2 linked regions of the Elephas maximus indicus genome follow. The protein of the gene in region 1 purifies or fractionates together with the protein of each later gene. This does not show direct contact. Links are inferred from orthologs where the notes say so. Each region holds a gene or a part of one and is shown in the gene's direction. Other genes may lie near its edges. The genes, in order: NUP214 and NUP88.

The links.
Region 2: the proteins of NUP214 (region 1) and NUP88 purify together in Homo sapiens (affinity purification with mass spectrometry; 6 studies listed by BioGRID and IntAct, counting the BioPlex papers as one, with this or other methods). This does not show direct contact. The link is inferred for Elephas maximus indicus from reciprocal best matches to the Homo sapiens genes NUP214 and NUP88.

What each region holds. Positions count from the first base shown.
Region 1 is NC_064827.1:82,068,813-82,076,329, forward strand, and holds the start of NUP214 (nuclear pore complex protein Nup214), read left to right. Parts: upstream 1-4,033; 5' UTR 4,034-4,154; coding exon 4,155-4,199; intron 4,200-6,870; coding exon 6,871-7,066; intron 7,067-7,517. Other genes in the region: AIF1L (allograft inflammatory factor 1-like), read left to right, coding at 199-286. UniProt on the Homo sapiens protein: Part of the nuclear pore complex. Has a critical role in nucleocytoplasmic transport.
Region 2 is NC_064837.1:15,089,114-15,097,253, reverse strand, and holds the start of NUP88 (nuclear pore complex protein Nup88), read left to right. Parts: upstream 1-4,883; 5' UTR 4,884-4,928; coding exon 4,929-5,219; intron 5,220-7,797; coding exon 7,798-7,967; intron 7,968-8,140. Other genes in the region: RPAIN (RPA-interacting protein), read right to left, coding at 9-120, 1,592-1,652, 2,677-2,847, 3,946-4,026. UniProt on the Homo sapiens protein: Component of nuclear pore complex.

The sequences.
Region 1 (7,517 bases):
ATTTTGCACCTGTTTTCTCCTCTGTACAATGGCCCTAGCAGATTGCCCTAGGCTTCCACAAGATCCCACTGGGAAATGGATTTGAGGGGCATCTGTTGAGGCCCGTAGACTTGAGGGCTAGATGATCTTTCCCTGGATAGGGGAAGAAGTCCTAATCCTTTTTTTCTTTTCTTTTGTTTTTCTCCATCTCCAAACCAGAGTCATGATGTTTGAAGGAAAAGCCAATGAGAACAGCCCGAAGCCAGTTGGCCCTCCTCCAGAGAGAGACATTGCCAGCCTACCCTGAGGACCCTGCCTGGACCTGCCCCTGCCCTACCTGGCCTCCCCGCCCCTCCTCCTCTCTCCACATCTCGCTGGCCTTCTTGACTCATTGTGATTTGTCTTGTTTGTTTGTTTGGTCATTGCGGGTTTGTTTGTTTGTTTCATTGGACAGAATCAGTGATCTTTTTGTAAAGCACAAACTACCTGCCTTAAAAGGGCTCTGGGTGGTGGAATCCTGAGCCTTCAGTCCCCTCTTCACCCATCCTTCCATCCTCCCTCTGCAGAAGAGCTGACATCAAACCAAAAACCACAGGGACAGGGGAAGGGCCAGAGCCAGGGCAGGGAGGCTGGGAAGGCTCTGGAGTTGGGACAAGGCTGCAGGGCCTTGTGAACATTTCCTCTGGCCGCTCTGTGTTTCCAGCGTTCTTGGCTTGGCCCAGCTTCCTGCCGGCCACACCATGGCCTACCACCCCAGCTGCTCTCCACTCAGTCTGTGCTTCTTATCCTCAATGAGGGTTCTCAAGGAGGCGACTGGAGGAGGGGAAGAGAGGAGTTTGGCAATTTGAGCCCTTTGAGAAGGTACCGGAAGGAGCTCTCTGGCCATGCCACCAGCAGCGACCACACTTTTACAGGCAGTTTGGAGGGCAGGTGCAGCTGCACAGGCCGGCCGTTGCTGGAGCAGGAAAGGGCTTTGGAGGGAGAGATGGGGCCAGGGACCTTAGGGGAGGGGTCGCCTCAGTCTAGTCTCTTTTAGGAAGGATGCTGAGGGCAAAAGGACAGGAGAATCAAGAATAAAATGTTCATGGCACAAAGAGTCAACCTTACTATTAAACCAAGAGCTACCTTTCTGACCCCAATCTTCATGAAACCTGACTACTCTTCCCCCATTTGTCTTCCCACCCTACTCACACGATTCACTTATTCATTCTACAGATATTTATTGACCATCTGTTACGAGCTTTAAGTCCTTCCCCTTTATCCTGACATGTGCTGTGTCCACTGTCTCTCTAAATCATCTCTCCTTTTCCAAATCACCCAAAACCTTGAGTTTTGGAATTGGATTGGGGATACCTTTGTTCTTTATTATAGACTCACAGGATTTAAGAGTCCCAATCCACCCTGCAGGTTAGCTGGGCAGTCCTCCCATGTCACAGGTGAGAAAACCATGTTTGGCCCATAGAGATTAAGTGCCTTGCCCAAGGTCAGGGGGTTAATTTGGAGATGGAAGGGTCTGGACCAGAGCTCAGGTCTTCTGATCCCCTGCCCACACCTCATCTCTGCTCTGGAATCCTCAGTTAGTTGTGAAAACAGGGAAGGATTGGGGAAAGGTAGTCTCCTAGGTCAACATTTGGGTAAGATTTTCCTTGCCTGGAAGGCCCTGGGCCAGGATTAACTACCCAGCATTTCCAAGTCAGCATCAGGGTCTGTATAAGGCCTGGGACTGCCTTTACAGTTCTGGTGCCTGGTTCTCAGAACACATGCAGGAAGATGTCAAACTTGGCCACTTCTTGGCTGAGCAGGGGGTCTCAGCCTTGATACCACCTGTGCTCTGCAGTCCCTTATCTCTCCCCATGCAGGACTTGGATGCACTTATTCATTGAACGTATTTATTAAGCACCTGCTATGAGCAAAGAACTAAGAATCCAGCAGTAAAATAGGACAGACTCATGGAATTGTGAGTCTAGTGGGGAAGTCAGACCCAGATAATAACATGAGAGATGAATGTTAGGAATGGGGGATACAAGGGTAACTGCCCTGCAGTCCTGGGGGAATGAGCTGGGCCCAAGACTGGAGACTTGGAGAAACCTTTGCAAAACCTAAAGTAGAAAGGTCTGGGGGCTGTTGGAGCCAGTGCGGGCTCCCTGTGGCTCCTTAGTGACCCATAATCAAGGGCCCAACGTGCTGCTCCCTATAGTAGCTTGAGAGGATAAGGGAGGAAGAGGGTGGGGAAATGGCCAGGTTAGATTAGTCCACTGGTCTCAACCAGTTCAGGAGCAAGACTATTTGGCCATGACTGGCTGATCTTCAGCCTAAGAAGCTGCTTCAAATGCACAGGCCTAGTCGAAGTTTAAACCCCAGTAAAACACTCCACCCTGTAAATGTAAAATCCCACCTCTACCTCCTCTGCCTTTTTTTTTTTTTTTCCTGAGATCAATAGATTAGCAGCTACCTGACCCCAAGGCTTCTCACTGCCTGTCCTCTTTGGGCAGGCTGGGACCTTTGAGCAAGGTAAAGCCTTCCTTACTACCCATCATATTCAGTGTACCCGTTCCTCACTCACAGAGAAAGACAAAACTAGCCAGGCTTATTTCAGTGGGTTCCGCAGCTTACAAGACCGAAGGAAGCCTCCTTAAGGAAGGAAAACAAGCTGGTGTGTTTCCAGCTTCTGGAAAGGGCCGGAAGAGGGGCTCTCTCATTGGATGGGGGGGTACCTTGGGAAACCCCATCAGTTCCTTCACCACTTCTTAGAACTCAACCCTTGGTGGAAAGGGTCTCAAGAATGTTTCTCGGACAAGGGGCCTGCATGTATTTCAGGTTGTGGCTATTGGCTCTAGGATACTTACTTCTCTGGCTAGGGGCTCAGCTTCTTGGCGCTTCAGCTGTCTTTATTTCTGAAAGACCAAATCTATCTGTAATGTAACCAGCAACTTGGGGACTGCCAATTATGGCTTTGTCCCTATGACTCAAAAGGAAGGAGTTTGTTGGGTAAATCCAGGTGGATGAAGTATGTGTGTGTGTGTGTGCATGTGAGTGCGTGTGGTGTGGGATATCATCTCTACAGATTGGAAATAAACCAGACAAACTTATCGATGTCATGATTGGTTTATTTTTAATACAGTTCTTTAGCTCAGCAAATTCAGAAGAGCTAGTTAACAGATTAAAATGTGCCAGACTTATTTAACCCTCACAAAAACCTCCGTGAGATAGGTTCTGTCATTGTCAACCTCTTACAGATGAGAATTGGGCTTGGAGCAGATAAACAACTTACTGCAAACCTGATAGTGGTAGAATATCCTACAGCATTTATAATTCCATTACAAAAAATTTCTTCTACAACAGGGCTGTGTAATAGTTATCAAATTCAGACAACATGAATTCTAATCCTACCTCCAACACTTTCTGGCTGAGGGGCACTGGAGGAATTTTCTTAACATCTCTGTGCTTCAGTCGTCTCATCAATTAAACGGCAATCCCAGGTGGCTGGGATGTCTTGACAATTAAATAAGATAAGCACAACTAAAGGGTTTTGCCCAGAACTCAGCACAAACTATTTTGTTAACGGAGATAGATACGGCTCTTCAAAGGAGTAAACAAAGCTGGTCTTTGGTGCCCTTTTTCAAAACGGACTTTTGTGACAAGGTTCCATCCACCTATTTTCTGAACTTCTCTTCCCTTACCCTGCCCCACCAAAGCCTCTCTCAAGAGCCGCCCCTGTAAATATTTGTCAAGTCCCTGACATCTCTGCATCGGGAACAATAACCACCTACATCGAAAGGTTACTGTGAGGTTTCAACGGAACAAGGTGCTTGCAGCGCTCAGGCGTCAGACGCCGAACGAGTAACTCCAACCCTAGGCGAGACCGTAAGCGTGGGGGCGGAGTCAGGACGCTCCAGGCGGCAGGCGTGCGGGCCCTAGGGCCACGCCCCCACTCGGACTGAACTGGCCAATGGGAGGTGGCAGTCCGAGGAGCGCGCGGCTTCAAGTCTACCTCTAGTTTCCTCAAACACTTAGCGGAACAGGACGCGTGACGTCATCAAAGCGCGCCGGAAATGCGAGTTCAGCTGCGCGGTACTGTCCCTGAGGGAAGGAAGTTGGCCTCGGAGCGGCTTGTGCTCTGTGGGCAAGGCCCAGGCCGGCAGCAGTAGCTGCTTCGACAACCTGTGTGCGGCGCGATGGGAGACGAGATGGATGCGATGATCCCCGAGCGGGAAATGAAGGTCAGATACTGGCCAGGGGCTCCCTCCCTTAGTACTGGCGTTGCCTTGGAGCCCCGCCTTCGGCTTGAACAGGTTACGGCGTTCAGAGTTCTCACTGGCGTTGCTCTGGAGCGCTCTGTTGTGCCGCTTGCGTGGTAGCCCCACGGAATGAGCTTCCCCGGTCTTTGTTAGTCTTGTGCATTCTTCTGGAGTTATCTTAGCTGCTTACATGTGGTAGTCTGAGTAGTGGTAATAACTGTTTATTGAGCGTTTATTGTGTGCCAGGCACTGTGGTAAGCATTATCTCCCTGAATCATCACCGCAACCCTATAAAGTGGTTGTTAGTATCCCTGTTTTACAGAGGAGAAAATCGAGACCCGGAAAGTAGCTTATCCAGTCACATTTGACAAGGGGACTGAAGTCTAGGTTTATTTAAGACACTTTCTTCACTGTCACGGTACTACTTCTGTAGGGCGGTCCAGACTTGCTTAACATAGAGCCGAAGATCAGGCATCTTACAAAACCTTTAGGTAACTGGCATAGAAGGGCTATTTTGGCGCAGCACATCAGCTTAAGGTCAAGAAAAGGGGAGAAATAAGTGGTCCAAATGATGGTAAAGTTGGAGAGTGCGGGGGTAGGTCCCCAGGATGGTTGTGTTTGACGTTTCTTATAAATTTTCTGATAGAACGAGAGTACAGAGAACAAGCTACATTTCTTTTACATAGCAAACGGCTAAGAGGAAATAAGTTACAGGAAGATTTCAGGCATTCATGTGAACAACAAATCCCTAGGAAGCATTTACCCACCCAGTGCCCTCGAGTCGTAGGGATAATGATCCATATTTAGAGTAATGATTCTTACTTTTTCTTCTTGAGAATCACTGCTGTGGTGAGCAACCCAGAGGGAATGTGTCATGTTCCTCAGATATGCTGGAGCAGAAGAAAAGAAAGGTTTTAGGACCACAGCCTTAGAAACGATAGTCTCCCTTTGAGTTATATGATTGTAACAGAAAGGAGAGTTCTCCTGTGCTTCTTCATCCCACTGGCCTACTGTACCCATGTGATTAAGACCCAAATAAAAAATTTAGGATTATCAGGATAAGAATTACAAAAATGAAATTTTTATTCTCCTCCTGTATGAAACTATAGTGTGGTCTCATCTGAAAAGCTGTGTGAATTTCAAGGTTTCCAAGGAGTGGCTGGTGGATTCGAACTGCCAACCTTTTGACTAGCAGCCAAGCTCTTAATCACTGTGCCACCAGGGCTCCTAGTTGGAATTAAGAAAGAGTATTTCAGTTAATCTTTTAGCAAATATGTATTAAACACCTAACCCAAGGAAACTAGTACGTGGGTTGTGTTGGGGCCATAGAGTTGGTTCCTACTCATAGCAACCCTGTGTACAACAGAACTAAACACTGCCTGATCCTGTGCCATCCTTATGATCATTGTTGTGCTTGAGCCCGTTGTTGCAGCTGCTGTGTCATTCGACCTCGTTGAGGGTCTTCCTCATTTTTACTGACCCTCTACCCAGCATGGTGTCCTTCTCCAGGGACTGATCCTCTTGTGGGGTGTGGAAAGGATCCTATATGAAACTGTATAAGAATCCAGTGTGGAAAAAAAATGAAGGCTGAGAAAAACTGTCCTTGTTTTTTACAATTTTGGATTATAAGCATAAAGTTGATTTACTGAGGCCTTGACTTAAAGACAGGCTTAGAATTATATTAAAAAAAAAAAAGTGTGTGTGTGTGTGTATATATATATATATATATATACCCACAGTGTAGTTTAACATAGTGATTGATAAACTTATGTATCTCTTATTGAAAACTTAGATAAATCCATGGAAGACAGGTGAGTCAGACATTGGCAGGAGATCAGGGGAGGAGGCTCCCAGGCCAATTATTTATGTCTAAAGGCCTTAAGGTACTAAAGAGCATGAGGACTGAGGGAAATGGGGTGGGGGGGAGCAGGGAAGGTAGCTGTAGCAGTGGTGATAGTGCATTTTTTAGAGGAAGCGGAGATGAGACTACAGAGGTAGAGGGATCAAGCCATGCTTGACCTTATAGATTGTGTTATGAATTTTGGTTTTGTGTTTTAAATGTTCTCATAGCATCTGTGTTTTGCTTAAAAGCATTGAGCTTCAAGAGATTGTCCATTTCCATTTTGTGATAGAATGCTTTTTTGGCATATGATATAAGTAAGCCAATTCTTGGGCTTTGGTCATCTTCTGTCATCATTATTTCAATATATATTTGTTGACTACTACACTAGAAGTTAAGAGTTCACTGTAGTTAGGTGATACTTTCAATATTTAACAAGTATTAAGCTCTACTCTGGGTCTGAGACAATATGCACTTAACATGACAGGATAAGATTATAAATAATATAGTTTGTGGTGATTCGAAGAATAAATACAGTAGGAATTCAGAAAAAAGAAGAGATCAGTGTGAGCTAGATTAGTCCAAGAAAAATTTCATGAAAGTTTTCTCTCATTTATCTCATTTAACAAATATTGCACACTATGCCAGGCACCATGATAATAAGCACAAGAATTTAAAGACACACTGTCCTTAGCCTCAAGGAATTATATTCTTTTGTTGCCTTGGAATTGGGTCTCTTGGAATATAACGACAGACATAATTTTCTGTTAGCCCTGAATTTTTTTTTTTTTTCCCCTCAATCCTTCACAATAGGATTTTCAGTTTAGAGCACTGAAAAAAGTGAGAATCTTTGAGTCCCCTGACAAGTTGCCCAAGGAACGCACGAGTTTGCTTGCCGTGTCCAACAAGTATGGTCTGGTCTTTGCTGGTGGAACCAGTGGATTGCAAATTTTTCCTACTAAAAATCTTCTGATTCAAAATAAACCTGGGGATGATCCCAATAAAATTGGTAAGTTACTTGACTTATGTTGCATATTAAAAAGAAGAGTGTGGTGGAGTGCTAATGTTTCCTTTTCAAACAGTCATTTTAATATTAAAATTAAAACTGCTGTGATCCCTTCACCCCCCCAGGAAAAGTAAATTCCAGGTGGGATGCTGGGAACTTTTCTAGGTGTTCTCTTTGGTCCTTTGTATTTCTCTTTTTGATGAGTTGTTTCCCTAAGCACAAAGGAAGGAAGAACTGTCCATGCCATACTTTTATTTTTGCTTAGTTGAACTTGTGTCGTGGATTTCTAGGAGAAGGGTTTAGTTGCATGGCTTTTTAGTTGACATGTTACCATCCAAACAAATGGCAATGTGTGGTATTTGGAGCATTGTTGCAAAAATATGAGCCCAGGGCAATACTATAGTTAACAAGGACAATGGCCAGTAAGTTTCCCTAGGTTGTATGAAGAAGAGTC
Region 2 (8,140 bases), on another chromosome or scaffold:
ACTCTTACTTTGTACACACAGGACAGATGAGGGGGTTTGCTTCCCACTCGGCCAGCGTGCTGCTGAGCCACTGTTCATCAAACTGCAAGCTCTTCTCATACTCCCTGATGATGGCCTGTTCTGCAAGGCAAAGGGCAGCTGCAGTGCTTCACCATGCTTCACCCAGAGGGCCCTGTCTTTAATGCTATGCTTCACCTTCAAGGGCTTCCTCCACAAAGAAAACGATTCAGGCAAAAACACACAACCAATTGGTACGTCTTTATTGCTCTTGGATTCCCCCCTCCCCCTCCTATCTGTCCTCTCCTTGCGAGCATAAGAGGTGAACTGAGGCTAAAGGACAAGGAGATAACTTTGACACACGTCTCCAGAGGCTACTGGGGCAGAGATGTGGAATGTCAGAGTCCTGAGAGCACCTGGGGGAAGCTGACACTACAAGGCACTTCTGATACCAGGCCTGCCCTGCTGAGTTTAAAGTGAGTGGTGCCCCTGTGGTAGTACCTGTGTTGTTCAGGATCTGTGTGCTCATTCTTTCAGCAACATGCACCAATACCTAGTACGTGGTAGGCACTGGGTGACAAAGATGAAAAAGACTGGCCCCCAGCTCTTGATGAGCTCACAGGCGAGACTTTAGCTGACACTACAGGGTGCTTACTTCTGACACCAGCCCAAGCTATCCACTGATTGCAAACTTACCCACACCAAGCACTGCTTTGAGTCCTCTACACAGGTTGTTTCATTTAAGCCTGATAACAATCTTGTAGGGCAGGTCTATTACCTCTATTTCGGGGATGAGAAAGACAGCCTAGTAAAGACAAGACTCTGTGGAATAAATGACTTAATTGTATGAGGTGCTAAACCAGGCACTCCACACAGTGCTATGGATGCCCCAGGGAGTAGCTGTTCACAGGACACTGAGGAGTCAGTAAAGAATGGATAGGAAAGAAGGCACTTAAATTACATCCTGTGAAGTGAGCGGATTGCTATTAACCTATACTAATACACAGGTACAGTAGGACAGTGCAGTAAACACCAGAACTGGGTTCACACAATTGATTCTGTTTCTCAGCTCCACCACTTGCTAGCTGTATGACCTGGGTAAGACACTTTCTTCTAATACTGTCTTGTAGGGTAGTCATAGGAGAAGACAATATAATGGAATGAGATGCTCTTAGCACAAGGGCTAGCACACTGGAGACTCTTATTATTGGGAAGACAGACAAGTCTTCAAAGTATAAACAGAGACTTCTGGACACTAGACTGAATATGGAGGTAAAGGAGCAGGGTTAAGAACCAGGCTTCAAACTGGTTTGTTCCAGTTCAAATCCCTGTCGAGAATTTGTATTTCCATTCTAGATAGACTGAATCCGAGTCTACAGTTTAACAAAATCCCAGGTGATTCTTATGTACACTAAAATTTGAGAACCACTGCCCTACTAGTGGTTTTCAGAATTGGTCCCTAACCAGCAGCATTAGCATCGCCTGGGAACTTGTCGAACAGGTTCAAAGCTCTGTTAAGAACTATCCTGCTCAAAGGAAAGGTCAGCCTTAAAGTAGCTAAATATAGGTAGGAAGGACTACCCTCAGGGGTCACCTTGGTCAATCAGCTCCTGATGGATTTCCTCAAGTACAGCCAGGTCCGTTGGCTCCTCCACCTGCAAAAGAAAGTGGAGCTCATCAGAAGTCTGAAGTCTTAATCAGTCACCAAGCCTCATGACGACTGTACTTGGAACTTGGCTTAAAGAGCCCAGACTTCCCTCAGGGGATCAGTCCCGTACTTTTGAAGAATATGCTGACAATGACGTGGTGTGGCCATGCTGAGAAACTATCAACAAATGATCAAACTACCCAGGAATGGAATAATGGCACCAAATCTGGGGGAGACAGTATATGGTAGCAGTTAAATATATGGTTCTGCCAAGGTTACGTGACAACAGTAAAGTTCCTAACTTCTGTAAACCTCAGTTTTGGCTTCTGTGAGTGGAAATAAAACCAGCCTGCAAGGGTTACTGTGAGCAGTAACTGTGCTAATGTAAGGGCAAGTATTTCACATACTCTAGGACACATAGAAGGCACCCAATAATACATTGTTATTATGTAGTACTTCCAAAGCCCTTGTCCACATTTTCTTATATAATCCTAACAATGCTGGCAACATTATCTTCTTCATTTTAGAAACGTGAAAACGAAAGCTCAAAGAGGCAGAATGAAGTTAATGAGTCAACAGCAAAACCAGGACTAGAACTCCAGAACTGCTGACTTCCAATCCAATGCTCTTTCCAATACACTGTAAATGGTTTCCTATCCATACTCAACTCCCAACCCTGGCTGAGATTAGAATCAGAAAGCTCCTGGAGATATTTTTTAAAAAGGGAGATCCCTAACCCATGTGTACTGAATCGAAATTTCCAGGGGAGAGACAAAGAATGAATGACTGTATAATTTTGTTTGTTTCATAAGTGATTACGATACTATGATGCATCAGGTCTACAGTCTGGTATTTAGAAACCATTGATCTTGAATAACCTAACATTAGAGGTAGAAGAACCTGGGTTAAAATCTGTGAGAATTCTGCCTGAGGGCTGAGGGTGGGTGTGTTTACAGGACTTAGGTAAATAGGTGCCAACTAGTAGTTCATGCTGCTGTAGCCCACCCCCTGTGCACACACCCCAGCCTGACCTGAGCCAAGGCCTCTGGATAGTGGTCCACTGACTGCAGAGCGTTCCACTCCTCTTCCATCACTTCTTGCACTAGAAGGGTGTTCTGAGCTCCTCTTGGCAGGCTGCCTCCAGCCTGGCGGTACTTGTTCAGGAGCCTGTCCCGGCTGTTTTTCATTCTCTCCAGGCATCCCTTGGAGTAAGGAGCAAGATGGGGGGGGAGGGCAAGGGAAAACAAGTTTCTCTCTTTTTAATATTCTTAGTTGTTGAAACATTAAAGACAATTTATAGACATAAAATTCCAACTACGCTATTTTCATTTTTGCGTATTCCTTCCAGTCTTGGTCCACATGTAAAAAAAGGGGAAATTACAATGCCTTGTTCATGTATTTCCAGATCGTACTTCCCAGATGTCTTCAATGCCACCTTTCTTAATGGTTGGCTGCGTAACATTTCAGCTTCCTCTTCCTATTACAGGACATTTCCAAGTGTTTTGCTACTCTAGATATGGCTGTGTTAACAACCCTCCTGCACACAGTATTTCTAACTTGGGGGTCATTTTGTCTCCCAGGGGACAGCTGGCAACGTCTGGAGACATTTTTGGGTGTCACAACTAGAGGTCTACTGGCATCTAAAAAGTGGAGACCAGGAAAGCTGCTAAACATTCTACAATGTACAGGGCAGCTCCCACAACAAGGGATTACCCCTCAAAATGTTAATAGTGCCAAGGCTGAGAAGCCCTGCTGCACACAGTTCTAGCGTCAGATTACCTTCCTGGGGTACATCCACTACTTCAGGGCGAGAAAAGGAGTATTACTCTCTGGAAACCGTGGTGAGTTCAGAATAGGTCAGAACTGAGGTGGGGTACAAGTCTGCTAAGACTTAGGAACTGAGGCTCTTCTGAGCCTCAGTTTACTCCTCTCTAGAATATAAACAATTCCTACTTCATACGCAGTACGTACACGAAGATCCTCTTTCGATTCCTGACGCACCGGTGTCGCTGTTAGTTATTAAAGGGATGAGGCCACAGCCACGTTTCAAATATGAAACAAACCCAAATCGGAAAGCAAGACTTCCTGGGACTGGGCTGGCCCGGACTAACGCCAGAACCTCCGGGTGGGCGGCTAGGCACTAGTCATCCCAGACCTACTGACAGGAGGCCCGGGTTCGAGGTCCACTTCAATGGCCAGGCGCTCCCGGCACCTGCCTCACGGAGCTACGTGAGGAGAATAGCCCAGGGATGGCTTAGGGGAGTGACTACAACCCAACTAGTCATAAACCCCACACACACCTGCCTGAAAGCCTCCTTCCAAGGAGGAGAGCCCACCACTTTGTACAGCGAGCGGTGCGGAGACTCCGGCGGCTCTGCCATCGCCTCTTCGGCGGAGCAGCCTCCACAAAGCCCCGCCCCCTCGGAACGCGCAGAATTCTGGGAGCTGTAGTTTCTGAATGCTCAGCGTTCTAGATGGAGGGCGGGGAATTCTGGGAAGTGTTGTTCTACCTGCCAACCCTACGCCGAGACAGAGTGACATTTGTGACGTAAATCCAACAACATTTTGACATTTATGAGGTAAACGAAATGTGGATTGAGCGAGAGAGAGAGGCGAATCTTTGTTTTGGATGTCTGGGTTTATGCAGGTAATAAAACCGAACCAAACCCGTTGCCTTCGAGTCGATTCCGACTTAAACCGACATTATGGACATAGTGGAATTGCTTCCATAGGGTTTCCAAGGAGCGCCTGGTGGATTCCAACTGCCGACCTTTTGGTTAGCAGCCAAAGGCTTAACCACTAGGCCCCAGGGTTTCCTCATGCAGGTGGAGGTGTCTAATAACCTGTTGCCGTCCAGTCGATTCCGACTCTTAGCGGAGTAGAACTACCCCAAAGAGTTTCCAAGAGCGCGTGGTGGATTCGAACTGCCGACCTTTCTGTTAGCAGCCGTAGCTCTTAACCACTACGCTACCAGGTGTCCAGTAGGCAGATAAATACCCCGATCTCAGGCTCTCCTCGCGCTATGAGAGTGCGCAGTACCAAACTTTTCCTAAACAGGCGCTGAGCCTGTTGACCTACTCGTCTCGCCCCCTTTTGCCGTCAGAATAAGTGCTTGACTGGTGATTGGCTCGTCTCTGGCAATGGGCGGGCCTCACTCTCGCCCCGCCCCTAGTTTTACTTTCGTTTGCTCGATGATTGGCAGCAGTAGTGGACAGCTAGCTCCGGATTGGCTGCGCTCAGCGGCGGGCTGAGCAAGTGGAAGGAGGCGAGGAGTTGGGCCAAAATGGCGGCTGCCGAGGACCCTGTGGACGGCGGTGAGCTGTGGCACACCCAGCTCCCTAACCACGCCGTGTTCCTGCGGCTCCGGGAGGGACTGAAGAACCAGAGCGCCGTCGAAACTGAGAAATCGGCTTCTTCGTCCTTGTCTTCGCCGCCGCCGTTGCTGACGAGAAACCTACTTTTCGGCCTCGGCGGAGAGATCTTCCTGTGGGACGAGGAAGGCAGCTCCTTCTTAGTCGTTCGCCTTCGGAGCCTCAGGGGCGGCAGCGAAGAGCCCTCCCTCTCCCAATATCAGGTAAGGCCAAACCAGGAGGATCTGAACTCGGTTTTTTTCTTCTCGTTCTGGGATCTTTCATCGTCTGTAAATGTGTTGTTCAAGTGTAAGCCGGCGTCGTTTCGGGGACTTCCCGCTTTAAGTGTAAAAGCCTTCCCCCTTATTTTTATTTTTCTCCAACGTGGCCACATAGCCTTTCGATACCTCAGTTTCCGTATTCTTTTAACCAAAGTTTCTGACTCCGACACGGTACCAGACGCTGTTATGGGAATAAACCAGATCAAACTCTCGCTTCTGTGGTGCTTAGTTTCTGGAAAGAAGGAAGGACCATGGAATACTCAACAAACTATCAGTGATGGTTAAGTTTTCGGAAGAAAAACAAAACAGGAAAGGGGGATAGTGTGCTATTTGGTAGGTTGGTTGTAAAAACGGCGTGGAGGGGCCATCTGATCTCCTCTGACTTCACAAGCGGGGAGAGGACTCACCATCAGCATCAGCCCAAGGCTGATCCTATGATGTGGCCGTCAGACATGCCTCCTCCCTCCAACCTTTTTACCAGTTCTGACACCTGCCTTCCCTCCCATGGCACTCTCTACTCTGCTGTGTTTGATAATTTGTTGCCGTGGCCACAGAGAACTCACAGACAGTACTCACAATTATGGGGTTTATTAGGGAAGTAACAGGTTACAATTCAGGGTCCAGTTCTTCAGGACAGCCTCTTCTCAGCCGTGCCCCCAAGCAGGCCTCTCTCTGTCCTCGGCCCTGCTCTGCTCCAGCAGTTGTTACAGAGCTCTTTAGCTCTACAGATAAGTGCCCAGAGGCATCCCACTCCACCAGCAAGCCTCTGTCCGAAGGCGCTCGGCTCTGTGGGTTGGCACACCCACTGTAACCACCTTATTTCATGGGCTGGGAAGTCCACTGCACCACCTTGTACTGGTTTCCTGGCTCTGCTGCCACCTTTTCTCTGCCCCTGCTTCTCCTTCTGGTGTTACAACTTTCTTTATCTCCTGGGTGTAGGAAGTTCTCAGTGCAAGGGACCCCAGGTCCAAAAGATGTCCTCTGCTCCTATCTTTTCCTTTTGGTGGTAGTGAAATCCCCCTCTGCTCTGGGATTGGCTCTGTTTTAAGCCTAGAAAGACAGCAAAATTGACCAATCCGCTTGTTAAGGTTCCATTCACATTATTTGCATGGTCCCACTCCACACAGGCATTCCAGGCAGTTTATTTGCGTTATTAGCAAACTGCCAATCCCCTTGGTGAGCCACAATCACCTTATTTGCATAGTCCCACCCAATCATTTGGTGGAATATACAAGACCATGGTGAGAACGGCCATATAGAAGTGATCCATCGCTTGGTCATGACAAAAGAAATAGGAAGCAGTGGCACAGTGGTTAAGAACTTGGCTGCTAACCAAAAGGTTGGCAGTTCAAATCCACTAGCTGCTCTTTGGAAACCCTATGGGGCAGTTCTACTCTGTCCTATAGGGTCGCTATGAGTCGGACTCAGTGACGGTAGATTTGGTTTGTTTTTTTTTTTTAATATGATACTGAGACAAACAGCTCATCAGAGCCCCCTAAAATCAGCTTCACTTTAAATCTACATAGTTAAAGCAGCACTTTTCTTGTTGCAGAAATTCTTGAAAGTAGTTTATATCTTGTTGTACTGTTTATAACATAGTAATTAACCAACAAAAACCCAAACTCACTGCTGTCGAGTCCATTCCAACTCATAGTGACCCCACAGGGTTTCCAAGGCTCTAAATCTCTGTGGAAGCAGACTGCCACATCTTTCTCCCACGGAGCCACCGGTGGTTTTGAACCACCGACCTTCCGTTAGCAGTTGATCACTTTAACCACTGTGCCACCAAGGCTCAGTGTAGTGATTAGCACGTGTTAGTAGTTCAAGTTCTTCATTTGCCCATTCCCTAACCCTGTACTGAGAGTTGACAGTATGCCAGATACTATGGTAAGACTGCAGAAAGGAAAGGCACAGATCTTCCCATGAAGTAATTCATAGTAGGGTGGAATGAGCAAGTAAGAGAACGATTAGAATGCAAGGTGATAGCTATAATTATGCAGAGTGCTATAGGAGCACCTAAAATGTGCTTTCAACCCTGACCTGAAGACCAGGGATGTTTCATTGTGTAGAAGGTGCGTAGAAGCTGAGTCTGCAAGAATGTGTTCAGTCTTGTTAGCCAACTACAAAAGAAAATGAAGGCGTTCCAGGAGGAATAAAGACACAGAGGCATAAGAAAGCGTGATGATTTCCCAGAAATACAAGTTAACTTTTTATATTATAAGGTATGAGTGGAGAATGGTGGAGAGTTGAGACTGGAGTAGTAGGCTGCAGCTTGATCATTGAAAGAAAAATGTAGTATTCTCTTTTTCTCAAAGTAGGGAAGTCTGATGCATTTTATATAACATTCCAATCTAAATGGTTAAAAATATTTCAACAGTTAGTGGGTCAAGTATTAGTGTTTTTCCAGAATGCTTCATTATCTTACAAGTATAGAAGATTAAAGTATTAGTATGCTTTTGAATAACTCCTACATGTATTTGTATTAAAATGAACTATTTGACCCTTGTGCTTTAATTTCCAGAGACTGCTTTGTATAAATCCACCCCTGTTTGAAATCTATCAAGTCTTGTTAAGTCCAACACAACATCATGTAGCACTTATAGGACTAAAAGGACTTATGGTATTAGAACTACCTAAAAGATGGGGGAAGAACTCTGAATTTGAAGGTGGAAAATCAAAAGTGAATTGTAGGTAAGTTGTATTTCCATTTAGTGCATATTTATATAATTTGTACTACCAGTGAGTCTTGATACTGTGCTACTATTGAAACTTTGTTGTTGTTCTTGTGCAGTCTAGTCAATCCTGACTCATAGCGACCGTATGTGACAGAGAGAACTGCCCCATAGGGTTTACTAGGCTGTAAT